Linked DNA regions of Tamandua tetradactyla. The protein of the gene in region 3 interacts with the protein of the main gene of each other region in a pairwise test. Links are inferred from orthologs where the notes say so. Each region holds a gene or a part of one and is shown on either strand. Other genes may lie near its edges. The genes, in order: POGZ, WDR5 and ZXDC.

What was found.
Region 1: the proteins of ZXDC (region 3) and POGZ interact in binary tests that used the Homo sapiens proteins (3 or more experiments, as listed by UniProt). The link is inferred for Tamandua tetradactyla from reciprocal best matches to the Homo sapiens genes ZXDC and POGZ.
Region 2: the proteins of ZXDC (region 3) and WDR5 interact in binary tests that used the Homo sapiens proteins (3 or more experiments, as listed by UniProt). The link is inferred for Tamandua tetradactyla from reciprocal best matches to the Homo sapiens genes ZXDC and WDR5.

What each region holds. Positions count from the first base shown.
Region 1 is NC_135330.1:3,845,206-3,855,830, forward strand, and holds the start of POGZ (pogo transposable element with ZNF domain), read left to right. Parts: upstream 1-5,642; 5' UTR 5,643-5,877; intron 5,878-9,476; 5' UTR 9,477-10,625. UniProt on the Homo sapiens protein: Plays a role in mitotic cell cycle progression and is involved in kinetochore assembly and mitotic sister chromatid cohesion.
Region 2 is NC_135328.1:132,473,563-132,484,348, reverse strand, and holds the start of WDR5 (WD repeat-containing protein 5), read left to right. Parts: upstream 1-6,337; 5' UTR 6,338-6,462; intron 6,463-7,020; exon of another isoform or gene 7,021-7,176; intron 7,177-10,005; 5' UTR 10,006-10,098; coding exon 10,099-10,179; intron 10,180-10,786.
Region 3 is NC_135335.1:28,728,668-28,738,575, forward strand, and holds the start of ZXDC (zinc finger protein ZXDC), read right to left. Parts: upstream 4,542-9,908; 5' UTR 4,412-4,541; coding exon 3,409-4,411; intron 720-3,408; coding exon 567-719; intron 467-566; coding exon 388-466; intron 1-387. UniProt on the Homo sapiens protein: Cooperates with CIITA to promote transcription of MHC class I and MHC class II genes.

The DNA.
Region 1 (10,625 bases), on a different chromosome or scaffold from region 3:
TGTACAAGTGTGGATTTTTCTGGGGGAGATAATCCATATCTTTCATGGAGGTTTTCAAGGGGTTCATAATGCAGAAAAGGTTAAGATTCACCTTTCTATGCTAAGAACATGATCTTTATGGGTAGGAGAAGCAGATCTGAGGCTGCCAGGATATAGGGTCAAAGGAAAGAGGGAACTCATCTTCATACCTAATTTGCAGTACTGACACACTGCTGCATTTAGAGGCAAACCTATAAAAGAGAATTATTTCTAGGTTAAATCATTTTCTTCCCTTAAAATGATTTTAAACTGGTGAATCTTGGCACTTTCTCATTTTCAGATTTGATTACCTTTATGTTGTAGACAATAGAGAAGACATTAACAGTGGATCCTTGGCTGTCAGAGGAGATGGATTCCTTGCCATTTCTAACCCCTACTGTATGTACTCAACAAAAAGAGAGGACCCAAAAGGATTTGATACTTATCTGCCCTGTTCCAAATAAAACTTTCAAACTTAATTACGAAGGCATCTTATTCTCTGCATCTGTAAAAAAAAGATCACTTTACTTCTCATGTCCTTCAGTGGAATGAACTGGTAGGTTATTTAACGTCCACAGTTGCATTCTAGAAATTTTAACATGATGTTAAGAAAATGCAAACACTGCTTAATTTGAAAAGAATGTATCCTAGTGAAAAATGAAAACTTATTAAATTGCTCTTTGTGATATATTATAATGAACAAGCCACATATCAAGTGTGTCTATAAAGTAATCCAATTCATTTTTTGGTGAAGCTTTATGGAATCAATCTAATTACTTTATAGTCACCTATTCACCTCCTTAGCAACAATCAATATGAAACAATTATGACTCTGCTTTGGGTATCTCTTAAATAATATTAATTTACTCAAAGTTTAACTAAATAATTATCTCATGCAATCATGTAGCAACTCACAGTAGGACTTTTTTTTTTTTAACAGTTTTATTCACACACCATATCACTGTAAGTCTTGATGGCTGATTAAGTTGCTGCTTATGCATTTCTTACAAAATATATTTTGAAGACAAGACCTTCAGCTGCTTCTTACTGAAAGCTAATGAGAAACTCTTCTTCCTTTAGATATCCACTCTGAAAACATCCTCAAGTTATTTCTCACTCCCTGTACCTCTAGGAAAGTCCCCCACTCTCAGAAAAAATATTCTAAAGAAAATCCAGCAGCAGTCCTCTGAGTCCCCCATTTTTTATCTGACTCTAGTCAAACGCTGAGCTTCACTTTCCCTTTATTTCATGACAATTTACCTGTCAAGTCAGGTTTTTCAGTGTCCTCCTTTCCATCCCAACATGTTGACTCTCCGGATTTCCAGGCTCTGTGTAATCAGCTATCAATCTGTTCAAGCAGGGAGCTGTCCAGATTGTAAAAATGTCTCCACTGTTCCTCTCTCAGGTCTCCCAAATTGAGTAACTCCTTTTGAGTTTCCAGCTTCGAATTATCTGTGTATGTTGTACACATTGGATTGGGGATGCCCTTTAAAAAACAAAACATAACAAAAAACACCTAGTATTATCCCAGGAAGCTGCTTTCTGTCTGGGCTAGCCTCCCTCTCACCTCATCTTTCCCCCCATCTTCAGCCTCCCACTGAGCTTCAGCAGTCAGTGACTGGGTCTGTAGTTTAGAAAAGTGACATCGCAGAGGGCACCCATGACTCACTGCTTTCGAAGACATGTTGAAATCATTTGTCTTTCTGCCTTGACATGCACTCTCCAAGCTGCAGGTGGTTCCAATTTTCAACTCGTGGCAGAAATCATAAGCCAAAGAACCAAATAAGTGCTTCCATAAACTGTAGAAAAGAAACACTCTCCTGCTACCGGTAACTGTGAAATGCCCAACTTGGGAGTTTAGTTAACCTTTGACCTTTTTTAGAAACCCTTTTGGAGAGAATTCCATTTTTCTGAGTAGATTATTTAAGATTGGGGAAGCTTTTTTTTTTTTTTTAACTTTTTTTTACTGTATAATATAACATATATACAAAGCAAAGAAAGAAAAAAACCCAATGATTTTCAAAGCACTTTTCAAACAAGTAGTTATAGGACAGATCCCAGAGTTTGTCAGGGGCTACATACCATCATCTCAGATTTTTCCTTCTAGCTGCTCCAGAACTTTGGAGGCTGGAAGGAATATAGCAGCTTCTAACTGCTCTAAGATACTGGAGACTAAAACAATTATCAATATAATGATTCAGCAATCATAGTCATTTGTTAAACTCTATCTTCTCAGTGTAAGTCCACTATTACCTTTGATCTTTCTCCCACTCTTTACGGGTAGGTGGACCATGCCCATTCTAACTTTTTCATTTTGGAAGGGTGTGTCACTAATATGGGGTAGGGAGATGGAACTACCTGATGTTCTGGGGAGGCTGGGCCCTCTAGGCTTCAGGACTTATCTGGTCCAGGGACCCATCTAGAGGTTGTAGGTTTCTGGAAAGTTACTCTAGTGCATGGAACCCTTGTGGAATCTTATATATTGCCCTAGGTGTTCTTTAGGATTGGCAGGAATGGTCCTGGTTGGGGGTTGGCAGATTATGGTAGGTAGCAATGTCTGACTGAAGCTTGCACAACAGTGACCTCCAGAGTAGTCTCTGGACTCTATTTGAACTCTCTCAGCCACGGATACTTTGTTACACTTCTTTACCCCATTTTGGTCAGGATGGCATTGTTGATCCCATGGCGTCAGGGCCAGACTCATCAAGATTGGGGCAGCTTCTTAGCAGCAGGATTAGGGTCCAATTTCTTCAATTCACCAAGCTATATTGGCTTTCAGATGCCTCTGTAGTATGTTATAGAAGCACATGTGAATTGATTTGTAAGGATTTCATCCAGATTATCTTGTTCTACTGCCTTGTTTTCCCATCATCATCAAGATGGTTTAAAGATAAGAAAGACCAGCGCTATCACTCTAGAAAGCTGTGTTAGCTGATGACAACAAAATGGCCTAACAGTCCAAATTAACGTGGGAATTCTCTCTTTAGCACATGGAATATGTTTTTAAAAATGGGAGTGCTAACTCTACAGTCCTTTTTGAGATGCTGCTCCGTGTTGTAAGGTGGCAGAGTTTCTTCAAATCCCTGAAGCTATAAAATGCCTCTGTCCAAGATTCTTCCAGCTATCAGTCATTCAGCTGTTGATCAATTCTCCCAGGCTATGGCGGTAATTAGGATACGTTTTATAATGTCAAAGGATTTAATCCATTCCCTAATGGCCATTTATCTTTACCCTTTGTTTTCTCAACTATTTCCTCAAGGTTCCTCCAGCTCTAGCAAAAACCCCATTTTAACACTCAGCATGATGCTCTTCCTCAGGTATATCACCATCACTCACACGCATTTCGTTAGCCATCATGGGTCAAAATTGTCTCCCAGGACACCAACTAAGTGATAGAAAAATAGGTCACAAAGGAGTAAACAACACCTTGCAGAACACACACAGCTGAAATAGTAGCTCCAGAACTTCCCTTTTCCCCCTTCACAGCACCTATCTCTGTATCATAAGTTATATATTTACTGATAAATTTATTTGTATGGCAGATTTGTATTTTTCAAAGCGGTCACATACTTTGAGATGTGGAGTCTTTGTTCCCCACCCCTCTTGAGCTGATGTGGGGGAATTGTGGTGGAAATGATGTTATATGATCTCTGCGACTAGGTCACAAAAAGTCATACAACCTGTGCAAGTCCTCTTGGGACACAATCTTGGAACCCAGCCACTGTGATATGAGGATGCTCAGGCCACACGGAAAGGCCACATGTAGGTGTTCTGGCCAACAGCCCCAGCAGCAGCCCAAGCCAACATCCAGGCAGGTGAGGAAGCTCTGAGAGGCCTTCAGGGCCAGCCACTGCATGAGAGACTCAAGTGAGAAATGCCTAGCTGAGCCTACTCATCTCCTGGAACCATCGGAGATAATAACATTGTTTCAAGCCATTAAGTTTTGGGGTAGCTTGCTATTCAACAGAAAATGAAATATTTTATGTGTATAGAGTATCTCTCTACTAGAGTGTGAATTCCATGAATTCAGTGATTTTGTTTTCTTCTTTGTATTGTATTCCCAGCACCTAGAACAAAGCCTGTCTGGCATATAATAAGTATTCAATAAATATTTGTTGATGAATAGATGCAGGATGCATTTTCATATGATGTGCTAAGGGTTATTGGTCAACAGTACATGGTTCAGTCTACTGGGCTAGACCTCATCGGCTGAGAGCACAGGAAAATGTTCCACCAGGAAGATTTCAGAGGCAAACAACATTATAACAAATTATGATAAGTACTGCAGGACACCAAAAATAGAATTAGTGCTGCATGTAGAATTTGTGTTTGGGTGATAGATTCTATAATCCCAACATGGGCTTTTCCACATCAGGTCTGGAAACACTTTAGAAGTGTTTTCAGGAGATAAGTGAGTCTTCCAGTTCCAATAGTGATTCTCCCTAAGAATGACTAGTTGAAATCACTCACATATATATGGTATGAAATGCGATGAAGTGGGAGGAAAATGGGTGACAACTGTGTGTATGTCCATGTGCACATGTGTGCATGATTTGAAATGCCTATTCCATGACCCATTTTCATAGTCCTGTGACTTGAATGGCCATATGAATGGAGTGTGGATGTAAAGATAAGGAATAAATATGGTGTTGGATCTTCCCAGTCTGGCACCAGGCACTGTGATTTAGCATTTGGTTTGCAGCAACCATTTGTGTCTTGTCTAAAGAGCACCAACTTCCTCTGATTACAAGAAAAATACTAAAATTTTATCATCCATCCTCTAAGGAAGCAAGAAAGGACAAAGTTTCTTGGCTACCTGGAGAAGCTGTCAGTTTCTGTTCTGGGAAAAATAACATTGTGATGGTTTTGTATGGAGGTAATCCATGTCTTTGGGTCAGTCCGTCTCAGCCTTGATTGGAGCCCAAAGCAAGGATATGCTTAGAATTGGATATCTCTCTCGTGAGACTATTTCCAATGGTTTCAAGTAGTTTCAGTAGCAAGAATCACCTTGATAAGCACACAGGCGTGACTTCTTCCCAGAATCCCAAAGGTTTTCAAAGCAAAAATGGCTCTTAAAAGTTTTTCACTTAAACAATGTTACCACTGCCACAAATCTACTTGGCTGAAGGACCGCTGAGGACGGGTGAGAGCCCCCGGGGCTGTCCTCGCTGGTGCCCCCGGGCCTCGCCCTCCGGCCTGGAGCGTGCAGTCCCCCTCACTGGGTCCAGGCCTCGCGTGGCAGGTGGGGGCACTCCCAAAATCCCCCGGAAAGCCTAGGCAAGTGAATTGGGGAACATTTCCTTTGGAAACCCCATTTTTCTCATCAGAATCTGGATATTGCTGCTGAAAGTTCATTAATTTTTTTTATTAGAAATATGTTTTTTATTTATTTATTTGCGGGCCCACACAAACTTGACTGGAAAAGAAGCGCGGGCAGGGGTTAGTCTGAGCCCGTGACGTCCCCCGAGCTCCGGCCAATCGCAGGCCGCGAAGAGGGGAGGGCGGAAGTGACGAGTCGTATCCCTCCGCGGGCGAGAGGGCCGGTGGGGGGAGTCGGAGTCTCTCTCCCCCGCGCCAGCTCCCGTACACGGAGCCGCATTCCTTGGCCCCCCCCACCCCCTCCCTCGGGGCCCCCCCGCCCCCCTCGGGAAAAAAAATCCAAACCAAATCACTCGAACCCGAGGGAGGTTTCCTTCCACCCGCGGGGAGACGAGCTTCCAACGGTTCCCTCTTGGCCTTCTCCCCCAAGCCCCCGTCCCCTCCCCTGCTCCCACCCCCTCTCCGGGCGCCGGTGCAAGGTCCCTTTAAGGCGACGGCGCCTTCCTCGGGTCAGACGAGCGGCGGCGACGACCACGGGAGGTGAGTGAGCGCGCGAGCCCTCGGTCTCCCCACCCCCTGCTCCCGGGGGTTCCGTTATCTTTTCGCTCGGCGCGGAGCTCCGAGGCGAGACAATGAGAGGGGGATGGGGCGGGCGCGGGGTGGGGGCGGGGGCTGGGGCGCGCCCCCGCCCACCGCGAGGAGCGGCGCGGCCGTGGCGGCGGCGGCCGTGGGTGCGGCGCGCGCGCACGCGCGTGGCTGTGAGTGCGTGCCCCGCGGGAGGCGCGGCGGGCCGGACGGCGGCGGCCCCTCGCCAGTCGCCTCCGCCCCCCGCCGCCGCCGCCGTGGCGCGCGCGCGCGCACTCGCCGCCCACGGCTCCGCGCTCCCCCCGACGTCCACACGCACGCCCGGCGCGAGGCGTCCCGGGGGAGTGGGCGGGCGCGGGCGGCGGCCCGCCGGGGAGTGGGCGTGGGCGGGCGGGCTAGGGGGCGAGGCCGCGGCGGCGGGGGCGGCTCCCGGGCCCGCGCCCTCCCCGGCCGAGGGGGAGCCGGTGCCCCTTTGGCGCGGGAGGCGGCCCCGGAGCGTTGGCTGCGCGAACCCCCGCGTTGTGTAATCCGTTCTGGTCTCTCGTGCCTCCCAGGCTTTCGTGCTCCTCAGGCACGGGTCCGCCCTCGCCCCCGAGTCCCTTTCGGGCGGGCGCGGTGCTTCCCGACGTGCCCGAGGCGAAGAGGCGCTCCTCTCCGGCGAGCCCACCCCGCCGCGGCGGCGCCATGTTTGGCCTTGGCGCTGGCCGTCTCGGTTGTCCGCGCGCGCTGGAAAGGAGCCGTCTGTCTCTCTGCCTCGCCGCGTGTGCTTGCGGCCGTGGGCTCCCGACCCGCCGGCGCGGGATGCGCCCTGCCGTCGAGGACCTTGTTCGCGCCCTCGCCCGGGCGGCCTCCGCGCGGTGCTGGCCCCGGCCCCTGCCGGTGGAGCTCCTTCCGGGCAGCCGTCACCTCGGGGCGGACTCAGCCTGCACGCTTCCCGCCGAGTCCCAAAACCCCACAGAAATGGGGTGTTTAAAGAAAATTTCCCAAGTAAATCTGGGGGAAGCGAGTGGGATAGAGAAAGGCAATGAATTTGGAGGCCATCGCTTTGAAGGGGCCGGGACCTTAGTCTGTGGTCATTTCGAACAGTCATTGAAATTCCTCGCTTGGGATGCATCGGAAGTACCTGAGAGATGGCTAAGCTTGCAGCGTTGGGGGCCTCGTCCCCAAAGAGTCATTGGGTGGGGCGCGGCCTGGCGAGGCTGCAGGCGTGGCTTCTCCGTTTTCACCCTGCTGACCCTCAGCTGGTCCTGGTTAAGATCCCCACACCTGGAGAGTTACTGGTCTAGCGGAAGGGTGAAGGATGTAAATGGGAATCTCTACCCTTGATTTCCTTCCCCTTTCCTTACTCTGTTGGTGGTGTGTCCCCTGGTAAAGGCACTCAGATAGTGAAGAAGTGCTGGGGTGAACTCCACTTCCTCAGGTTTCGCCCACGTCTCGCAGTAAAGTGGAGATCATGATCCCTCGGGATCTCAGACCTTTCAGGATGGCAGCAGCTCAGAACTATTTTCAGAATAATGCAGAAATGCTGTTTATCCTTTTCGCTAGTTTTTGCCCTGATGGTCCAGAAGCAGTGCTAGTTAAAACTGTCCTCACCTTAGTACAAAGCAAGGTAGAGGAGCCATACTGTGTACCTGAGAATATCCTTGACAAAGCAGTAAGAATGACTTTTTTTTTTAAATCCAGAGTACATCTTTTTTTTGAGAAACATCCACACACGTACACTCCAACCATATCATCAAATCAGTGGCTCACAGTGTCATCACGTGTTTCCATATTTTTCACCGTGATCATTTTTAGAACATTTGCATCACTCCAGGAAAAGAAAAAGAAAAAAACTCATACATCCCATACCTCTTACCCCTCCCTCTCGATGACCCACAGTATTTCAGTCTACCCAATTTTTACTTTTTATCTCTCCGTATTTATTTTTTATCCACATATATATTTTTTACTCATCTGTACATACCTTGGATAAAAGGAACGTCAGACACAAGATTTTCGCAATCACAGTCACGTTGTAAAAGCTATTTCGGTTATACAACCCTTGTCAAAAATCAAGGTTACTGAAACGCAGATCAGCAGTTTTGCATACTTTCCTCCAGTTTCTCCAACACACAATAAACTAAAAAGGGATATCCATATTATGCATAAGAATAACCTCCAGGATGATCTTGATTCTGTTTGAAATCTCTCAGCCACTGAAACTTTATTTTGTCTCATTTCTCTTTTCTCTTTTGGTCAGAAATGCTTTTTCACTCCCATGGTGCTGGTCCCAGTTCATCCCTGGGAGTCTTGTCCCGCATTACCAGGGAGATTTACACTGCTGGGAGTCATGTTCCACGTAGCGGAGGGCAGTGAGTTCACCTGCCAAGTTGGCTCAGAGAGAGAGAGGCCACATCTGAGCAGCAGTGTGCTGGAGGTTGGGGGTGACTCTTGGGCATAATTATCACTTGGCTTAGCCTCTCCCTTGCAGGAATAAGCTTCATAGGAGCAAACTCCAATATTGAGGGCTCAGCCTTATTGTATTGGTTGTCCTCACTTGCAAGAATGTCAGGAATTCCCCAGATGGGGAAGTCAGGTATTTCCTCCTGTCTCCCCAGTCCCCCAAAAGGATTTTTTTTTTTTTTTTTTTTTTTTAAAGACAGAGAGAAGGAAGGAAGGATAGAAGGAAGGAAGAGAGGAAGAAAGGGAAACATCTTTTAAACATTTTCTTGTTTTATTGTATTTTGTTTCTCCGTTTTCGTTACATGGGCTGGGGCCGGGAATCGAACCGAGGTCCTCCGGCATAGCAGGCAAGCACTTTGCCCGCTGAGCCACCGCGGCCCGCCCCCCAAAAGGATTTTGCAAATACTTTAGTCACTGCCCAAATTACTCTGGGATATATTGGGGCATCACACTAACCTGTATAAACCAACAGGATCTCATCCTGTTCAAGATTCCATGTACTTAATGGTGTTCAAGTAAACTGACCGTACAAATTAAATTAGATAATGTGCTACCCAAAATATAAATTCTTCCCCAAATAAACATTTCTCTCTTTGGTCTTGCTCAGAAGTTGAAATTTTAAAATAGGAACCGTATCACCCTTTACCTAGTATTCTGATTTACCTTAGTCCTATCCAGATCAGCTTTATTTGAATCTCTAGACAAAGTCTGATCACTTTTTCAGCCTTTTAAACAGTTGCTGAATGGGGTAATGCTGACTTTGATAGCATTAATGCTCTAACTCTGAGTCAGTGGTGTCGCATAAATACTCAAAGTTTCAGGGATCAACAGGTTACCTACGAATAGATCACTGGCTCAGAATTTAGAAATTTCAGTTACAACTCCTAAATACATGTGACTGCTATAAGAGTTTACAATCTAGGAACCTTTACAGTAGGCCCCAACCTGACAACCCATACTCTCAACTTCAATTCTCTCCATTTGCATATTAAAGTTAATCCATGTGAGTGAGGCATAATATTTGTCTTTTTGTTTTGGACATGTTTATTCAACATGTATTAGGGTTCATTCACCTAGTTGCATGCCTCACAGAGTACATCTCTTTTTAGGAAGCTGTGATGAGATGGAAAGTATACCCAAAGCCCTTTTGCTGCCTGCTGAGGTTTGGTCATTGTCATGAGGAAGAGCATTTGGGAGGTTGAACATGAGCTGAACTAGCTGCTTATTTCATGGACCAGCATTTTTACTTGAAAAAACCAATGAGACTGACAAACTACAGTTTTTCAAAGTTGAGTATCTGGCAGACATTTTCTTGAAATTGGACCTTTCACTTCTGAGAAACAGTTGACTGTGTTTGTTACCAATGATAAAATTTGAGTGAAAATTAGAACTTTTAAAAAGTTGACAGCTTGAAAAAATAAGGTTGACAGCTTCCCTATACTTAAAACAATGTTTAGGACTGATTCTTTTTTTAATGGCTTAATGAAATGTGTCAACATTTGGAATGTTGGCATAGCTCATTAAATCTGTATTTTCCAATGATTGATGTCACTAAATTGCATAAGGGTTAACAATCCTTTCCCAAAATGCAGTATAGACCAATAGATTTTTTTTCTTCAATAATTTTTTTTTTTTTTTACACATGAGTAGGCACTGGAAATCAAACCCAGGTCTCCAGCATGGCAGTTGAGAACTCTGCCTGCTGAGCCATTGTGGCCCGCCACTTCGATGATTTTTTTATTGAGTTATAATCATCCCCAGTGTACAAGCAGTGGTTTATAGTATCTTCATAATGCTGTGCATTCATCATTACAATAGATTTTGAACACTCATTATGCCAAAAAAAAAGAGTAAAAGTAAGAAAGAACGCCCCAAATAGCCCATAACCGCTATACTTCTCTTTTGTTTTCTTTCCTTACTTATTTGCCCATATACTGGATAAAGGAAGTGTCAGCTACAAGGTTTTTACACTCACACGTTCACACCTTAAAAACTCTATAGTTATTTAATCATTTTCAAGAATCAAGACTGTTGGATTACAGTTCAGTAGTTTCAGGTATTTCACTTAAGCTACTCCAGTACACCAAAAACAGAAAAGGGTTATCTATATACTACATACGAATAACCTCCAGAAAGACCTCTTAACTCTATTTGAAATCTCTCAACCACTGAAACGTAATCATTTCTCTTCCCCCTTTTGGTCAAGAAGGCCTTCTCATTCCCACGATGCCAGGGCCAGGCTCATCCCCAGGAGTCAG
Region 2 (10,786 bases), on a different chromosome or scaffold from region 3:
GAGATATCCATCCAGGCCCGGCCTCCCTGGGTGCAGTGGCTCAAACTGTGTCCCCCCAGAGGCTTGCTGGGGTCCTAACTCCTCGGTCCTGTGAGTGGGGACTCATATGGGAATGGGGTTTTCTAAGACCCTTTGAGGGTGAGGCCAAACTGAAGCAGCAGGACCTTCACCCAGTAAGGCCCAAGGCCTTAGACGCAGGGGAAATTGGGACTTGGGAGTCAGCAGAAGCCAGAGGCGGAGATGCAAGGAGATGGTTGCCCTGTGATGGAGGCAGAGCTGGGCCACCTCCAGATGCTGCAGCTTCAGAGAAAGGATGGCCCTGCTGATGCCTTGATTTTGAACTCGTGCCCTCCCAAACTGTGAGACAATAAACTCCTGTGTTGAAGCCAGACGCATCTGTGGTGTTTGTTATCGCAGCCCTGGCATCTAAGAACAGAGCTATCTCCTTCTTTGGGTCCTGGCAGAAGGTTCCAGCCCACAGATGTCCCCCGATTTGTCTAATCATCCCCTGCTCGTAGGCACTGAAGTGGGTCCAACGCCTTCGTCCTTCTCACTTCTGCCGTGAGCATGCCCTGCCTTTCCTGTCCCTGCAGGCTTTTTGGAGGGACAGGTTCTTGGAGGAGAACTTACTGGAGGTCCCACGAGCTTCAAATAGGCCCTTGAGGTCTACTTTTTACTTCTTACCTCCTGCCCTCATAATCCTTATTCCTCCATTCCCAACAGCTTTTCCATTAGACTCCGAGACAGAAGGGAAAATCAGTGCCTGGGATCCTAATTGTCCAGGGGTTGAAGTTCTCATACTGCAGGACTGGGTCTTCTCTGCCCCACATAAAACCATCAACCAATCTTGGAGCCCTGCCTCCTCACCACACCTCCAAGCAGACCCACACTGGTGCACACCTGCTCCAGTTGCCAGCTAGGTTCTGGCAACTGGTCTGGGTGGAGCGGCCATTCCCTGCTTCCAATTTTGTCCCCCAAGGTCGGGCAGGCTACAAGGAAGACAGCTGCGAGTTAACCCCAGGCTGACAGCCAGCCTTGGAGGGGCCCTACCAACCCGCTCTGCAAAAGCATGCCCTTGGCTGTCCGCAAGGGGATTTAAAGAGCCTGGAGGATGGAAGGAAAGGGTGGGCAGGTGGAGGGGCCTCCGAGTCTCCTTGTGGAAGGGAGGGAGCATGCCTGCAGCTGGTAGCAGAGCCGCCTGTTTGAAGCCCTGGGACTTTGGCCCCTGCGCATTTCCTCTGTGTCAGCTTTTCTATTTTTGACCGGTTGCTTCCCCTTTAGGGAATTATCAGCGATACTGTGGGAAACCCAGAAAAGCTTTGTCCAGGGTCTGCTGGGTTGCCTGCTCATGCCTCGGCCTCCTGGGCTCCTCTTTACTGCCTGGGGGTGGGGGGTGGGGCGGTTCATGCTGGCATGTTCCCCACTCCTGGATTTTATCCTAAAGAAACCATTTATTGTGAAATCCTGGAGACAACTTCAATGTCCAGGTGAGGAGTAACACATAGCCACGAAGAGAGGAGGGAAAGTGACCCTGGGTGGTGAGCTGGGAGGATGCTGGTGGTAAATGTGAGCTTGGAAGGCAGAAGGCAGAGCTACTGTGATCACAATTGGGTGGAAGTGATATCTGCAGATGGATAAGAAACAGTGTGGTCCACAGGGTATGCCTGGACGCTGGAGGCCCAAAGAATCAGTTAAGCTCCTGGTCTGTCATTTACTTGCTGTGTGACCTTGGGCAAATCACTGAGGCTCTCTGAGCCCATTTTCTTCTTCTGTAAATATCAGAATAGTTTACAACCATGTTTGGGGTTTCATGAGACAAGCAAAGGGCACACAGTAAGTGCTTCCTAATAACGTGGATAGATGGAAATAGAGTGGTATTGTGGGGAGAAGATGGAAGCAGTCACATTTATATTCCTTGAAAAAAAATGACCCTGTAAACCACTGTTGGCTACCCCAAATTAAACCACAGTAAAGCCGTTGAAAGTTTCCATCGGCTTTTTAGGCCTCTGATTTCAATCTGGCCTGGCCTAGGTGCTGTTTCTTTCTTAACTTGTCTGGACCTCTCTCCTTCCAGGGGGATTACACCCAAGTCCCGGGGCAGGGACAGGATTTGCAGACAACACCAGGTGCAGCCTGGCTTCCCATGGGGGAATCTGCATTCCTGGAATTCTTGCTGGGAGGCCCGCCCAGCCTGGCTCCAGTTGAGGCCGGGCTTCCACAGCCGCTGGATGTCCAGGGGCCCGGGCCAGCCTGGCGGTTCCCGTTGGTGGGTGGCTGAGCTCCCAGCACCCCCTGGAGGCAGAGGGGAGCCCATCCCAGGGAGGCGCCTGGGCCTGGGATGGGGTGCAGGGTGAGGGCAGATGGATTTAGTTGTCATGACTTTGCAGCAAGCTGAGGATAGATTTAAAACAAACAGGAAGAGAAAGCAAACATTCGATGCTTCATTCATTCGACTGGTCTTTATTAAGCACGTATTGGGCACCCTCTGCACCAGGGTGAACAGGCTGTCTCTGCTCTCGTGAGCCCTCCGGTAGCGGGGAAGTGGACAGGTGAGGGGGCCCTGGTGAACAAGGTGCAGAGGGAAGAGAGGGAGGGCTGAGCTTGGAGGTCCTTGAGGAGGGGACAGCCCACAAGTAGGACCAGTAAGAGAAGGAATCCAGTGGGGGACGATGCTCAACCATGCTGGTTTACCTGGGCTGAGGGGTTGTCTGTCAGGAATGGAGACTTTCCGTGATAAAACCAGGACAGTGCTGGGCAAACGAGGGTGCCAAGAAGGATATACGATGTAGGGGATGAGGCTGGGGGTGGGTGGGGTGTGCTCGATAGCTGCCAGGAAGGGCAAGGCAGCAGAAGGGTGCCACAATGACATGGGGTGTGGGGCTTTTTCTGTAACTGGGAAACTGAGGCCAAAGGAGAACAAGGATGGTGGCATAAGTAGGACTGGACATGGCTGGGTACCAGCGATTTCAGAGACCAATGTGACTCAGGACGAAGCTGTCCGCTGAAGGCCCTTGGGTCTTCCAGGTGACAGCAGGACACAAAGTGTGTCCTGATGGACCACTGGGGAAGATGTTGGGGAAGAAAGAGAAGAGCCCAAGGAAGGGGAGATGGTGGCATAAGTCTTCCAAACTGGCTGCCCTGGCCTGCTTTTCAGGAGAAAAGAATTTACACAAAACCCCACTGACCTGGGCTATAGGGGAACACTGGGGTCTCTGGATAACATCAGCAGCAACCTGGAATGGTAGCCCAAAGGTGTGGGCTACCCTGCCTGTGAAATCCAGTGAGTGCTTCCTGGAAACCCCGAATTCAGGGCATCCCCATGTGCATCGGCTTCCTTGACCCTCCCTCAATTGTCATTGGAATTTGCTAACCCCCGCCTCCCCCCCCCCCCCCAAGGCTCTGGGCTTGGCCATTAAAGGGTCAGTGCTCTCCTGCCACCTGCAGCCGTGTGCAGGGAGCCTCACAGCATTCCTAGGGCACGGCAAAGGAGCAGAGCTGTTCTAATGCCACCTCCCAGCAAAGCCAACCTCTAGTATGGCAGTCCACTTTTCCTTACGAAATACTTATTGCTAAGTTACAAAATAGAGCTTTTCAAGGGCTTCGGCCCTACAGAAATGTGACATTTTGCTTTTCAGATCAGCAGACTCCATAGGACCTTTCCTGTCTGCTCCAGTCCACATGCGTTACTTTCTTCTTTGAAGACCTATAACACCTACTTTTTATCCATCCATCTATCCACCCATCACCCACCCACTCATCCGTCCACCTACCCCATCCATACATGCACCCACCCTTCCATTCCCCTATTCATCCATTCACCCACTCATCCATTTATCCAACAACCTATCCACTACCCATCCATCCACTTATCCACTCAACCGTCCACCCACCTACTCACCTACTCATTCATCAGCCTATCCATCCATCCATCTTCCCATCAGCATCACTGAGTGTGTACTGTGCAATTGGGGGTTAGGAATGTAGGTTCTGCCTTCAGCCAGTTCTTTGGCTGTTGTGGGAACCTTCACAGGGGAGTCTTGGGCAGCCTCTCAATCTCTTGGGGCCTTAGTTTTCACAATGTGAAAGGAGGATAATGAAGGCACGCACAGTCAAGGGTTGTTTTGAAGGCACAAGAGAAAATATATGTAACAAACAATGTAGAATTGGGCATGCAGGTTCTCAAATGTATGCTAGATATCACTCCTCTTTCTCCTCCTGCTTCGTCCCCACCCAGCTCAGCCAGGCCAGGACACAATGAGCTTCAACTACAATGAAAAGGACTGTTTTCCATTGGGGAGGATCTGGGAGCGGTGGAAGTACCACTGGGTGGGGTGGGGGTGGGGGGATGAGAGGAAGCCCCTGAAGCACCAGTGGACACTGGCTGGTGGAAGGACTTATGTGAGATAGGACGGTGCCAGGCAGGCTTGTGGCCTTGCTGTGCTGATGGACAGCCTTGAGTGGGGGTGGGAAGCAACTTTTTAGAATATATATTTATAAAAATTGTTCATGGATACAGTTTCATTTACCGATTCATCTCCACTGGCCCAAGCGCAGTTAATGTTCTGAAAACAAAACAAAAACATAAACCCCAAAGGCTGAAGTGTTTTTTCTTGCTTTAGTTCTTTTCCTCTCTTCTGTTTCCACTTGTGGTTTTTCTGAGCCTGACAACTTTTGGAAAGGGATATAAAAGGATTTACAACATAGATAATAAAGCAGATGGTTGTATTGTTCAGCTGCTCTACCCACTGTGCTATTTGCTTTCAGGAATTTAGCTATGACTGGAGGCACGGATTACAAAACAATTGACAGTATGAACGGATTTTCTCATTTTCACTGGAAGGAGGCAAGACCCATTTATCTGGTAGTGGAAGTTGGGCGCACAAGTTAGCCGTTTGGGGTGAGTCCTGGACTGGAGGGGGAGGCAAGCGAGTTTGTCAAAGGAGTTTGGATTTTGACCTGAAGGCAATGGGAAACCATTTCTGGGTCTTAAACTAGGGAATGACAAATCAGAATTGGATTTTGACAAACTCCCCTTTCTGCTCTTCAGCGACTGCTGGGTGACCAAGGTGGGGATGGAGAGAAGTGAAAGGATAGAGGACTGTGTGAGGGTAAAGGGGAACCTGTGAAGAGCTGCCCTCCTTCACTCCTAAGCTAGCTGTGTTTACCTTTTGCTCCAGGGCACCTGGCCCCAAGGTGGTGAGGTTGGCTGGGCAAAGAGCTCCGTGGGGAGCCAGGCTGGGGCCAGCCAGGCAGGGACCTTGCCCACCCTGTGTCCCCTCTGGGAAGGGCTTCACATCAGCTGCCACTCTTCTGGCTCTGTATCCATGACAACCACACACCTCCTGTTCCCAGGGTGTTTCCCTTCCAATGCTGGGTCTCTTTACCAGTACACGTTCCCGTATCCTATCTGGGTGTCCATTTCCGATTTGGAAAATAAGGGACTACATTATTCTGCCTACAGGCCGGGTTGGGCCCACGAAGCTGTGGAGGCCACACACCCCTCCAAGATCCTTAGACCCGTGTGTGGGAGAAGCAGGCAGCTGGGCGAGAACGTGCAGGGGACAAAACCAAGCTCCGGCCCTACCCTGCCGTGGTCCACGGAGGTGACAATGCCTGCTGGAGGGAAAGCGCCTCGCAGCCTGCAGAGCAGCAGGCACGCAAGAATCCTCAGCATAGCTTCTCGCCTCCCAGGGGCTCCGGGGAACGGTCCCAGCAAGTCGCAGCCCTGGGCAGGGGCTCCGGGCAGGCAGGGCAGGCAGGGCTCGCGGCCTCACGGGCCAGGCCCGGGCCGGGCTCTCCCGAGACGGCTGTCAGGACCTTTCTGCAGCTCGGGCTTCTTTCTCCTCTTTAAGCCGGGAAGGTCTGACCACCTGCCCGCCCTCCCGCACTTTGCCCAGGGCTGCCCTCGAAGCGTTACCTGTGGCCCCCGCCGATAGGAGCGCTCGTGGAGAAGGCAGCTGCTTCTCCAGGCGGCTCCGACTCGGAGAAGAATCGTGGGGGCCACGCCGCCAACTCAGACCGCGGGAGGAGGGCTGGATCCTCCACGGGAGCCGGCTGCGGGGTGTGAGAGTTTGAGGGCACACTAGCTTATTCCTGTACGTTTATTGTGCTTCCATTTTCAAAAAGTGCAGGAAAAGAAGGGCCTACATCCGACAACGCGTGGGTCCACCGCGGGAAGCCTGCGCACACACTATCCCTTTAAGGCGTTAGGCTTGATCGAGGCATTCTGCCCCTTGCCGCTCGCCGTAGCGCTCCTCCGAGAGGCTGATTTTGTGGGTCTACCCCGCCCCCAGGACCCCGCCCCCTCCCTTCGCGCCTGCGCACTGTCGGGCGCACCCCTCCGTCGGCGTCTGGCGCCCGCCGGAGCTGCCGCCTAGCCGAGCTCGGCCCGTGCTTCAGACCAGGCGGCTGCCGACGAGGCGTCCCGAGCGCTCCGGCCCCGCCGCCGCCGCGGCCCGGCAGGTAAGCGGGCGGCCGTCTCCGCGCGGTGGGCGCGAAGCCTGGGGCGAAGCGGGCGCGATGCCGGTGTACTCCAAACCGTCCCCCGCCGCCGCACGTGTTCCCCGGCCCTCCCGGGACCCCGGGCCAGCGCGCCCCACGCCGCCCGAGGGGCCCCCAACTGCCTCCGCGGCGGGCCCCGTCCTCGCTGTGGAGAGCTCCTCGCGAGGGCCGCCGGCCTCTCACCGCCCTGCTCCCGTCCCAGGACCCGCTTCCCCCGGGCCGAACGCCGCAGCCCGGCCCGTGGAGCGCCCTCCCCCTCGCCTCTCTTCTCCCCGGTGTACCCCTTAGACCCCCCTGGGTTCCCGGATGCTCTCCTCGGCGACCCCTGACGGATCGTGGGCCCCACGGGCCCTTCCCGCCCTCCCCAGCCGTCCAGTGACGAGACGGAGCCCGAGGGTCGCGGCTTCTTTTTCCCCTGCAGCCAGCGGGCACTGCGTCTCAGGGCCCCCCTTTCCTCCAGTCCTGCGCCAGGGGAAGACCCCGGACGGGGCTGAGCGCTCTGCGGGCTTGCCCACGGTCCCTGATCCTGGCCGTCGGCCGTAAGGGCTGCGAGTCCTGGGGCGGGCTCCACCGGGTGGGCTTTCTGCCATCGGGGAGAAACCACCGGCCCTCCCGCGGTGGCGCCTCCGGCCCCGTGTTTCGTGGGTGAAAGACACGCATTAACAGCTTTCTTGTGTGAGTTTTGCCCACCCGGCACCATTTACCGGCCCTCTGCAGCGAGCGTTTTCCTGAAGCTTTGGCTCGGACAGGCGCTGGGCCAGACTCTGCACCCGAGGCTAGCCCGGCCCCATTGGGAAGGCGGGTGGAAGGGCCAAGTACTGAAGGGGGTGTTCAAGAGCCCAGAGGGCTGGGGGGCAGAGTCCCCTAACTCACTGCTGGATGGCCACCTGCGGGTCACCTGGAGGCCTCCTGCAAAGTGCAGGCGACCTCCTCTCCGTCTCGGAGGCCTCATTCCAGGGTGGAGCCTGGGAATCTGCCTTTAACGAGCAGCCCAGGTGCGCACGCTGCCTTAGGAGGTCAGGCTCACCTGGATGCGCTAGGAGGTCAGGCTCACCTGGATGCGCGCTTGCCTCTGCTCTGGAGGCCAAGTCCCGATCCCCTTCCCTTCACTCAGATGGTGCTCACCTTGTGTGTACCCCTCGTTTTCAAAGACCAAGTCCCTGTCCAGCTCCCCCCCCCCCAAATGGTTGTTTTTCAAAAGGTATTCCATGGGATTACCTGAGTGTTCACGGAAAGTGCAGAGCCCTGGATCCTAACTGTGAAGTAGAATCTTGGGGTATTGGATCAAGAAATCTGTGTTCTTCAAAGTCCAGCTTTCCAGTTGACCTTTTTGCACATTGATGTGTGAGAGACCCGAGAGCTGAACGCTTCTGCTGTAAGACTGCCTATTTCATTCCCTGGGCTTGCTCCTCCCCTCATGTTGGCAGAAGCCATGTCCCACCTCCAGGTGGGGCTGGCTTTATGTTAAAAGGAGCTGCTCTGCCACTCCCCCCCACTCCAGCTGCCCTTTTCACCTGTGTGGGCAGACCAAGCCCTCGCCCCTCTCACCTCAAGTCTCTGTTCTCACTGGTGTTTTGCTTGGGTGGGCTGGCTGGCAGGCATCTGCCATGCTCTCTTAGTTTTCTGCTGTAATCTCAGTTTCCTTATCAGACTTTCCAGCTTTGTTCCTAAGAGGAGGTTTCCTTAGTGCCACTCTTCGCTGCTTATCCATCCCACAGAGGAGAGGGCAGCAGTTGAGGTAAACTGGCAACCAGCCAGGTTGCACTAAGGATAATCAAGTACCTAGCATGTACTTAGCATCAATTTTGTGCCAGCGCTTTGCCTTTGGTGGGTTTTGTGAGACCTATCCTTCTCTCCCACTCAGACTCAGTCTTTGAGGGCTGTACTAGGACAGGAAATCTTTAATGCAGGTAAACAGAGCTTTGCTGCATGTGTATTCTGCCCAGTGGCTGTTACATTGTGATTTTTCTTCTATTCTGTTGGATGAAGACAGAGGCATGGGTTTTTCTGATAGTTCCCGTTTCACCTTAGTGTTACAGGGAGGTTGTGCAGGGCTTCGGACTTAAGCTTTAAGCTAGAATCTACGGTGTGTAAACTCATTAGGTTAGGTGTAGTGCTACCTTCTGGACTTTGGATGGCCAATGATGGTCGCAGAATGGCTTGGCAGCTCTTCTTTTTAATAGTGCTTTCCCTCATTTCAGAATCACCTGGTGTGCTTTTAGGAAATGTATCCAAAGAATGGAATCTATTCCAGTGATAGAAGAAACTGATCACGTACTGTACGGGTTGTAGATATTCCTGTTGTCAAGTGAAACCTAATTGAGTGGCAGTCTTTTTTCCTGTTTTCCTGCAGTTTGAGTCTTGCTTGCAGAGCATCAGTGCTGTACTTTTTCTACAGAAGGCAGTAGGTGGAACCTGTAGCAGACACAGCTGACTCTGGTTTGTTTTTTTGCTGCTGTGTTTTGTAGCTGTTTCACCAGGGAGAGAGAGCCTTTTAAGTTGTTAGCATTTTGGAAATCAGCGTTGCATCTACTACTAGTACCTTGCAATAACAAAGCCCACCCGTTAGACCTAGAACCCCTGGGCATGTGTTCTGTTTTCAAACGTGGTCATTAACAGTATCATATCACTTAGGATGCATTTTACAATTTGGATGAGCTCCCAGACTTCTGCACCTGAATCTTAGTCTCTTCTAATTTGGCATATTAGTTTTCTATCAAGAAACCTTTGGGCTCGTTGAAGTTTTCAAAATTGTGTTTTGTGTGAATTGTGCTATATTCCTATGGACCATGGGACACAAAATAGGAAGCACCCTTGAAGTGTAGGGTCCTTGAGAAAGTGTGAGAGCAGGGATATTTTGGCATAGTGTCTGAAAAGTGAGCATGAACTTAGGGTAATATATTCCAAGTTGGAACATTTTGTTGCTACAAGACTCAATATGGTAGTCAAATGGTTTTCTTTTTTATCTTTTTTCCCCTGGATATTAAGTTTTGAAACTGTGGCCTGTTTACTGGCCTAGGACCCTGTTTGTGTGCTAAAGCTGCTGGAATGCAGTATACCACAAACGGGTGCTTTTTAAAGGGGGTTTGCAATTCTAAGGCCATGGAAGTACAAATTAAGGCATTGAGAGAAAGATACCTTGACTCTGAAGAAAGGCCGATGGCATCCCAGTTTCCTGTGTCACATGGAAATGCATGAGGCCACATCTGCTGGCTCTTCTCTTCAAAATGTTCGAGATTCTGTGTGTCCTTGCTTGTTCCTCCCAGGGCATTTCTTTCTTTCAGCTTCTCTGGGCCCTGAACTCTCTCCAAAAATGTCTGCCTTTTAAAGGACTCCAGCAAGTGGATTAAGACCCACCGTGAATGGGCGGGGTCACATCTCCATGGAAACAACCTAATCAGAATTCCCACCCAGTAATAGGTCTGCCCCCACAAATTTGGATTGAAAGAATATAGGCTTTTCTGGGGGTACATAACAGATTCAAACCATCGCTTTCCTTTTTAGGTTTCAGCTGGTGGCTGGCCTCTTCATTGTGAGTCTTCTGTGGAAAACGGTGTACACTCCACTTACATCTCCTACCTGGTGGGCTTCAGAGCCATGGCCACAGAGGAGAAGAAGCCAGAGACCGAGGCAGCCAGAGCACAGCCGGCCCCGTCGTCATCTGCCACTCAGAGCAAGGTGTGTCCAGGAAGGGCCCCTCAGGGAGTTTCCCAGGAAAAAATAGGTTTAAAGATTCTTGGAAATATCATTTCAAGGCCTTAAGTCTATTCTCCCCTACTCTGTTAAATATTGCCACCAAGTTTTAGTCACTGCTCACCTACCTAGCAAATGCTTTTTATGTTCCCAAACCTGTCACCTGAAGAGGGAGCATGATCAAACATGTAGATGGAACTTTGTCAAAGATACAGATTCTTGGTCTTGAATATAGGAATTCCTGAGAGTGGGACGAAAAAAACCAGTTCTTAATAAATACCCCCTCTCCCCAGTTCAAATTCTGCTACTTAGCCAGGCCTGTGCACTGTTGTTGTAGACAAGAGAACAGCTAAACTGAGACCTTAACAAAGGGAGCAGTGTGTTTAGGTTTGCTTTGGAGAAGGCTGGGCCAGAGCCTGAGCTTCGGGGACTTGTGTGATGTAGTGTTGCCCCAGGGACACGACTAGTTGGAAATGGGGTGGGGTGGTTCTGTGAAGGGGCCTTGGACCTTTTTAGCTTGCATGGTGGAACTATTAACCCTGAAGTGGGGAGTACAGGAGAAGCAGGGTGTTTGGGGAGAAGTTAATGATCT
Region 3 (9,908 bases):
GATTAAATAAGATGCCTGTGCAAAGTGCTTAGTGTTAGATGGACACAGGCCAACTGCTTCAGGGTAGTCATCAGAACAGTGCAAAGTTTGTAGTAACACCAGGAAAGCTTATTTTACAATTACTGGTTAAAAAAATACAGATCTGCATATAAAGTATAGCAATTAAGTTTTTTAAAAAAGCCATTTTTTAGAAAAAAAAATATTTAGATGATGAGATTCTAGTGATTTTCTTTTAATAATTTTTATTTTTCCCAATTGTCTGCGATGAGCTCTTATTTTTAAAACTTAAAAAAAAATCTGCAGATATTTCATCCACCGGTTTCTACTACTGACCAACAAATCATTCATTTTCAAAACTGGTAATGTATCCCATAATGTAAAAACTACCTCTTGTGCCTTAAGAGTTTGGACATGCTGGTGAACGTCCAGCCACAGCTGTCAGAGTCACAAATAAAAGGTCTTTCACCTGATAAAAGAAAAAACATACATAACATAATTATAAATACCACAGCTAACACCAAGACAAATCCTGTGTTCAAATGATGTGGCATTCCCTAGTTCATTACCTGTATGACTTCTCAGGTGAATCTTCAGTCGACACGCTTTGTCATATTGTTTGCTGCATCCAGGAAAGGAGCAAGAAAAGAGTTCTTGTTCCCTGAAATGAGCTCGATTATGGGAAAACAGAGCACTCACTGTGATAAATGTCTTCTCGCAACCTGAACAAAGAAAAAAGCAAACCCTCATCATTGGTGTAACAAAAATTAGACCACACAGAAAATGCTAGTCACAATTCCAGGACATTGTTTACACTAAAGTAGACAAGGGGAAAAGATGATGCAGAAGCACCTCTAAAAAAAATATATAAGCATTAAAGTTGGCTTTGTGATAGCTAAAATCAAGGTGGCCAATGGGAACCAAAGGACACCAGGTGGCCACCTCTTGCAATATGACTTTGAGATGGATTGAGAGGATGTCTTCCAATCACAGCCACCTGTCAGTTTTGTAGCACTGATCTTGCAGACATGTGTGTCTCTTCCATGAACTCAAATTCCAATGCTGCCTGTGTGATACCCAAGAGCACCTGAGAGAATGTAAATATAAAGAACAAGATTTTGTGTGCGGAGGTAGAGCTCTGGAGGACAACAAAACAGTCATAAGACTTTTTCGCCCCTCTACATTTATAAATTTCCTCCCTGACATTCTCTGAAGATGCCAACCTCCAACCCTCTTTTTCTTTCTGCCAATTTCCTGTTTCGTCAAAGAAGCTAAGACTGTAATCTTCACTCACATGGCTTTCACCATCACCCCGCCTAGGGCCCACCCCAAGTCAAATGAGCCTCTCTCTGTAACTCCCAAACTCTCCACATCCATGTCCTCCTTTGACAAAAACCTTCACTGCTCGGATATGGTGGAGAACATGAAGTTGAAAGTTGTTTAACAGGTTTCTTTGTTGTAGCTCTTGACAGAGCCTTTAACTTGTACCACGGTCATACCTGCGAATCACCAAGCAGAGACACTACACAGCACTGGGTAAAAGGATCAGGCCCAAGAATTCCACTTTACCCAGTCACACATTCCTGGGAAGTGCCCATCTTCCCTCCTAAACCACCCTGAAGTCCTCCTCTTTGGCCTGAATCTGCTCCCTGCCCCTGCTCTGGTGTAATCACTGGCCCAGCTGGGAAAATCTGAATACTATGAATCTCTTTGCCACAAAAAGAACCACTCCCTATGCTTCAGGCAGTATCAGCCCCTTTGACTCTGCCTCAGCACCAGTCTTCCCTCCCGAGTCTCCTTGCCTCTCCCACTGTCAAAGTCAGATTCAGGCTCTCAGTAAACTCACATCTGGCCCTTTTCATGGTGTTTTACTGGCTTCTCCCAATTCTATCAACCTCACAGACAGATGTACCCACTAATCATCCAACTCAAAACCCTCAGGGGGACACCTCATGCCTTAAACCAGGCTGGACAGAATGATGCTCTTTGTGCATTTTACAAGCTTGAGGCCTAAGCCACCATCTGATTTCCACCAGAATAAATGATTAAAAAGGTTTCAAACAGTGGCCTGAAGCATGCTGTCTACACAGAGGCTTGCATAAGACAGTCCATTGCCAGATGGAAGAAAAACATTAGAGCCTGCTAATGTATCTGTCGTGTATCTCACTCTTTCAAACTTTCAGTATGTGCATATTTCATACTGTATACATTATTAGAATAGGGCATATACATAATATGTACATCCACACAGGACATGCTAGGAGTATGCTAGGTGCGTGTTACAGGTTTCCTTCTATTTTAATAAGTGAGGCATGGAAGGCCCTCCACCCTCTCTTTGGCCCTCCTACAATCTCCCAATTTCCCTTCACCTGCCACCACCCCTCCCATGCCCTAACCACAGCCAGCCCACATCTCCCAGCCGTGGCTCAGCAGGTTCATCCACCTGTACAGCCTTCTACCTATTCCCCCAGGGAACAGCCCATTCTTACCAGCTCAAAGAGCTATATGTTTACAACCAGCAATCTCTTCTCCTCGTGAGCACTGTCCCTTTTGATATCTGCCTAATAGTAGGCTGAGAAGGAAGGAGTCTTTCTTTAACATTCCCTTTAACTGCAAGCAGACACAGTGGGGAAGGAGCCCACACTGGATCTCGTCAGCATTGCTTGGTCTAGGTTTCGTAATGGGTAAAATGAGGACAATTTTTAAAACTTCACGAAACCGGGAAGTTCAAAGAAAATAAAAGTATAAAAGGCACATAAATGCTGTGAAGCTCGAAGGAAATGAAAGGATAAGAGGCCAAAACCCACGAAGCCCCACAGACTCAGGATTATTCCTCCCGTGCATTAAAATCTGGCATCTGGCCATATTCATCTTTGTTCCTTCTGCCCGGTGTTTGTCCTGTTTACTCAGTAATCAATAACTGAATATTTTTAAGTGATGAGACTGAGGAAAACAAAGATCTGACTCATCACTCAGTGCAAGTGTCTGCGAAGATGCTTGAACAACATCGTTAACCAAAAGCATCATAACAGAAATCTGTCCCTTTCACCACTGGAAAGGAGAGCTGCGATTACCGCTCGCTAACCCACGGTCATATCCCCGCAGCGGAGCGGGGGTCGAGACGCCAAACGGAAGCACTTGAAATGAACAAGCATGCAAACCCAGGCGCGCTTGAGATTCCCGCCCCTCCCACTCCGACTCAGGAGCCCAGCGATTTTAAATTCTGCTAGAATAGGCCGCAAGCGGCTGCGTGATGCCGCACCAGCTCCATGGCTCGGAATTTGGTATCCTGGGTCTGCTCGGCTATTTCCAATCGCCATCGGGGCCTCGCACCCCTGGCTTCATTAACAGGGTCCTGGGAACCCCGCGAAGCACCCGGCCCTCCCCCATAGGCATTCGGCGCGCGGTTACCAGGAAAATCACACTTGTAAGGCCTTTCGGGCTCGAAGTGGCTGCGCTGATGGGAACTGAGCTTGGCGTGCGTGGGGAAGCGCTCCGCGCACACCTCGCACTTGAACAGGTTCTGTTCGTGGCCCTTCATATGCGCCTTGAGATTGTAGACGGTGGTAAACTTCTTGCCGCAGCCGCCCACGGGGCAGCTGAAGGGCCGCAGCTTGTCGTGCGACTGCAGGTGCCTCTTGAGCTTGTAGGAGGTGGTGAAGGCCCAGCCGCAGCCGTCCAGGGGGCACTTAAAGGGCCGCCGACCCTGGCTGCCGCCGTGCGTCAGCAGGTGCACCTTGAGTTGGTGCTTCTTGGCGAAGGTCTGCGCGCACTGCGGCTCGGGACAGCGGTAGCCCAGCCCGCCTGGGCCCGCGCTCGGGGCCCCGCAGCTGCCGTCGGCCATCCTCGCGGCCTCCTCGCCGGATGCCAGGGCGGCTGCGGGTTCGGAGGGCTCGACAGGCCCCCCGGGTTGTGGACCCGGTGGCGGCGCGGCCAGCGTGAAGACGCCGTTGTCGAAGCACACCAACAGGTCCTGGTTGTTGATAGTGATGGTGCCCGCAAAGGCCGCGGCTGGGCCAGGGCTGGCGGCCGCACCACCCGAGCCCGGCCCAGGGCGACCCGCGGGACTCCCAATGCGCCCGCCCCGCGCCGGCCCAGGACCGGGCTCGGCCTCCCGCCGCCCGGGGGCCTCGCTGGGGGCGCCGCGCGCTACTTCCAGGAGCACCACGAAGGAGTCGCCGGCGCCGCCGTCCTCCACGGGCGGCGGGCCCAGTTCGGGGGCCGCCAGGGCCTCCTCGCGCCGCGGCCCGGACCCGCCATCTTCGGCGCCCCGTAGCAGCAGCAGCCGACGGCGCGCGGGGCCCGGGCTGCCGGGACGCCCTGGTCCTCGCCGGAGCCGGCCGGGGCCGGGGCCATCGCCGCCATGTTGGCCCCCGCGCGGGGTCCGGGCGGCCAGCGGCCCAGGGAGTTCCATCTTGGTGGCCCCGAAGCTGCCGCGGATACCCGGGCGGCGGAGGAAGCGCCGGCCAGCCCCGCCCAGGGTGTGAGCCAAAGCCCGGCGCGGAGTAAGGCCCGGAGCCGCGGGCCTGCGCCCGGGGAGGGGAACGCGCGAGGCCTCCTGGGTCCCGAATGACGTCACCCCGCAGGGGACGGCGGGGCGGGGTGTGGGCGGGGCGCCGTGGGCGGAGCCCCTCTAGAACCTTGGGATGGTCGGCAGTTCTCCCAGCTGATGTTGGCTTCACTTTCCGGGAGATGAGGTTCCTCTGGTTCATCAGAGTGAAGTTTGCATCCGTGTAGGGCAGACAAAGGGATTGAAAATCACAGCCAGCATCTCAGAAACCTTTCCTGTGTCCCGAATACTTTATACATATTTGTTTACTCATTCACACAAACGTTTTACAGATGAGAAAACCAAGGCACAGAGAGCTAGAATAACTTGTCCGAGGTCACACAGCCTGGAAATTGGGAGTTAGGATTGGAACACAGAGTTCAGCTCTTGACCACCAAGCTGCCCACCTCTAAGGAGTTCGCTAAACTGCAAACAAGGTGGTCTACAAACCTCACCTCCATTGCCCCTGGACCTTTACCTGGCACTCAGGTCTTCCTACTCTGATCCTTGCATACATGTTCAAGTGTACTGAACGTCACACAGCCTCACACTACTGCAGTGAGCAGATGGGCCGGTTTGAATCTGTTGTGTACCCCAGAAAAGCCGTGTCTCTTTATCCTCATTCAATATCGCTGGTTGGGAGCTTTTTGATTGTTCCCGTGGAGATGTGATTCACCCATTTGAGGGTGGAACTTTTGATTAGATGTCTTCCGTGGAGTTGTGACTCCACTCATTCCAGGTGGGTCTTGATTAATTTAGTGGAATCCTATTTAAAAGAGGAAGTATTTAGGATTCTCTTTTTTAGAGCCACGTGAGAGCCTCAAGAACCACAGAGCCCAGAGATCTTTGGAGATAAAGAAGGATTTGTCCCCGTGGGGATCATCATGAAACAAGAAACTTGCAGAGAAAGTTAGCAGAAGCTGTTTTCACCATGTACCTTCTCAGTTGTGAGAGAAACCCTGAACTTCATAGGCCTTTCTTGAGTGAAAGTAACCTCTTCTTGGTGCCTTAATTTGGATATTTTTATAGACTTGCTTTAATTGGAACATTTTCAGGGCCTTAGAACTGTAAACTTGTAACTTATTAAATTCCCCTTTTTTAAAGCCATACCATTTCTGGTATATTGCATTCTGGCAACTTGCAAACTAGAATAGCAGACTTATTCCATGTTCCTGAACTCAGCCACTCCTCTGCCTCCCTCAAGCCCCCCATTTCCACACCTCCAGAATCAGTCTGGAGTACCTTCACTTCTCTGCATCCTCCATTTCACTCCTAGGTTCTTACAAAAATAACTCCAAAGCTAATCTTCTGCCTCCATCCTGTCGCACACTTCTGTTCATCACAGGGCAGGTGTATTCATTTCTCAGGTGCTGACAAATAATTACCATGCAATAGGTTGGCTTAATAAGAATTTATTGGCTTATGGTTTCAGAGACAAGAAGGCTTGTTTCCTCCCAGGGATAGTATCTTCTGACAGGTGAGCAATCTTTAGAGTTCTTTGGCTTTGCTGAAGCTTGACAATGCACATGGCAACCTCATCTCCTTTCTCTTCAGCATTCCCTTGACTTACAGCTTTTGGCTGCTCATCATGGCTTTTTCCTTCTGTGGCCAATTTCCTTTGCTTCTAAGGACTTGGGCCCCATTAGGTTAAACACACCTTCATTCAGTTTGGGCACTCCTTAACTAATAACATCTTCAAAGGTCCTGTGTACAGATGGATTCACACCCACAGGACATAGGGTTTGGACCTGAACATGCCTTTTCTGGAGACCATGATTGAACCCATGATTCAACCCCCAACAGCAGACTTTTTGTGATCTTCCAAAATGCAAATCTAATTATACATTCTTAACCCCCCCCCCCAATTGCTCCCCATTGCTCTAGTTGCCTCGCATGTCTCCTCATACCCATTCTGATTCAGTTGGGCCATACCATAACTGAAGTAACTTCATCAAAAAGTCCTATTTATAAGAGTTCACATACACAGGAATGGGTTAAGTTTAAAAATATATTTTGCCTAGGTCACTTATCTCCAAACCACCACACACAGCAACAATATTAAAAAGAAAGGGTGCAAAGAACCAACAAAGACCCAGAGGCCGTCTTCCCAGAGGTCAGCAATACATAGATCTGACAAAAACTAAAAGTTATGATGGTAGATTTAAGAACTGATTTCATAGTAATCACTTCGAATATTAATGGACTAACCTCGCCAATTAAAAGACACAGATTGGCAGAATGGATCAAAATATCCATCTATATGCTGTTGGCAAGAGATGCATCTTAGACCCAAGGACACAATGAGATTGAAAGTGAAAAGATGTTCTATGCAAGCTGTAATCAAAAGAAAGCAGGAGCAGCTATATTATATCAGATAAAATAGACTTTAAATGTAAAGACATCATAAAAGACAAAGGAGGACACTACATATGAATAAAAGGGACAATTCACCAGGAGGAAATAACAATCATAAATGTTTACATTACTAATCAGGGAGCTCCAAAGTACATGAGGCAAACAATGGTAAAATGGAAAGGAGCTATAGACGTTTCATCAATAATAATTGGAGTCTTCAATACATCACTCTCCTCTGTAGATAGAATAATGAGACAGAGGATCAACTAGGAAATAGAGAACTTACACAATTTGATAAATGAATTAGACCTAATAGACATATATAGATCATTACACCCCAAACACCAGTGCACATGAAACGTTCTCCAGGATAGGTCATATTATGGGATACAAACTGAGTCTTTGTACATTTAATAAGATTGAAATTAACCAAAGCACTTTCTCTGACCACAATGGAATGAAGCCAGAAATCAATAATCACCAAAGAACCCAAGGTTTCACAAATATATGGAGACTAAACAATACCCTCTTATAGACAAGAAAAAGAAATACAAGGCATCAAAATTGGAAAGGAAGAAGTAAAACTATCACTGTTTGCAGACGATATGATACTATACGTCAAAAACCCGGAAAAATCCACAACAAAACTACTAGAGCTAATAAATGAGTACAGCAAAGTAGCAGGTTACAAGATCAACATTCAAAAATCTGTAGCATTTCTATACACTAGTAATGAACAAGCTGAGGGGGAAATCAAGAAACGAATCCCATTTACAATTGCAACTAAAAGAATAAAATACCTAGGAATAAATTTAACTAAAGAGACAAAAAACCTATATAAAGAAAACTACAAAAAACTGCTAAAAGAAATCACAGAAGACCTAAATAGATGGAAAGGCATACCGTGTTCATGGATTGGAAGACTAAATATAGTTAAGATGTCAATCCTACCTAAATTGATTTACAGATTCAATGCAATACCAATCAAAATCCCAACAACTTATTTTTCAGAAATAGAAAAACCAATAAGCAAATTTATCTGGAAGGGCAGGGTGCCCCGAATTGCTAAAAACATCTTGGGGAAAAAAAATGAAGCTGGAGGTCTCGCGCTGCCTGACTTTAAGGCATATTATGAAGCCACAGTGGTCAAAACAGCATGGTATTGGCATAAAGATAGATATATCGACCAATGGAATCGAATAGAGTGCTCAGATATAGACCCTCTCATCTATGGACATTTGATCTTTGATAAGGCAGTCAAGCCAACTCACCTGGGACAGAACAGTCTCTTCAATAAATGGTGCCTAGAGAACTGGATATCCATATGCAAAAGAATGAAAGAAGACCCATCTCTCACACCCTATACAAAAGTTAACTCAAAATGGATCAAAGATCTAAACATTAGGTCTAAGACCATAAAACAGTTAGAGGAAAATGTTGGGAGATATCTTATGGATCTTACAACTGGAGGCGGTTTTATGGACCTTAAACCTAAAGCAAGAGCACTGAAGAAGGAAATAAATAAATGGGAACTCCTCAAAATTAAACACTTTTGTGCATCAAAGAACTTCATCAAGAAAGTAGAAAGACAGCCTACACAATGGGAGACAATATTTGGAAACGACCTATCAGATAAAGATCTAGTATCCAGAATTTATAAAGAGATTGTTCATCTCAACAACAAAAAGACAGCCAACCCAATTACAAAATGGGAAAAAGACTTGAACAGACACCTCTCAGAAGAGGAAATACAAATGGCCAAAAGGCACATGAAGAGATGCTCAATGTCCCTGGCCATTAGAGAAATGCAAATCAAAACCACAATGAGATATCATCTCACACCCACCAGAATGGCCATTATCAACAAAACAGAAAATGACAAGTGCTGGAGAGGATGCGGAGAAAGAGGCACACTTATTCACTGTTGGTGGGAATGTCAAATGGTGCAACCACTGTGGAAGGCAGTTTGGCGGTTCCTCAAAAAGCTGAATATAGAATTGCCATACGACCCAGCAATACCATTGCTGGGAATATACTCAAAGGACTTAAGGGCAAAGACACAAACGGACATTTGCACACCAATGTTTATAGCAGCGTTATTTACAATTGCAAAGAGATGGAAACAGCCGAAATCTCCATCAACAGAAGAGTGGCTAAACAAACTGTGGTATATACATATGATGGAATACTATGCAGCTTTAAGACAGGATAAACTTATGAAGCATGTAATAACATGGATGGACCTAGAGAACATTATGCTGAGTGAGTCTAGCCAAAAACTAAAGGACAAATACTGTATGGTCCCACTGATGTGAACAGACATTCGAGAATAAATTTGGAATATGTACTTGATAACAGAGTCCAGCAGGAGGTAGAAACAGGGTAAGATAATGGCCAATTGGAGTTGAAGGGATACAGACGGTGTAACAGGACTAGATACAAAAACTCAAAAATGGACAGCACAATAATACCTAATTGTAAAGTAATCATGTTAAAACACTGAATGAAGCTGCATCTGAGCTATAGGTTTTTGTTTTGTTTTGTTTTGTTTTGTTTTGATTTTACTATTATTACTTTTATTTTTTCTCTATATTAACATTCTATATCTTTTTCGGTTATGTTGCTAGTTCTTCTAAACCAATGCATATGTACTAAGAAATGATGATCATGCATCTATGTGATGATGTTAAGAATTAATGATTGCATATGTAGAATGGTATGATCTCTAAATGTTGGGTTAATTTCTTTTTTTCCGTTAATTAAAAAAAAAAAAGAAGGGATAATTGGAGCTGAAGAGATACAGACTGTACAACGGGACTGGATATAAAAACTCAGAAATGGACAGCACAATACTACCCAATTGTAATGCAATTATGTTAAAACACTGAATGAAGCTGCATGTGAGGTATAGGTTTTTTGTTTTTGTTTTTTTTTTTCTTTCTATTATTGTTTTAATTCTTATTCTGTTGTCTTTTTATTTCTTTTTCTAAATCGATGCAAATGTACT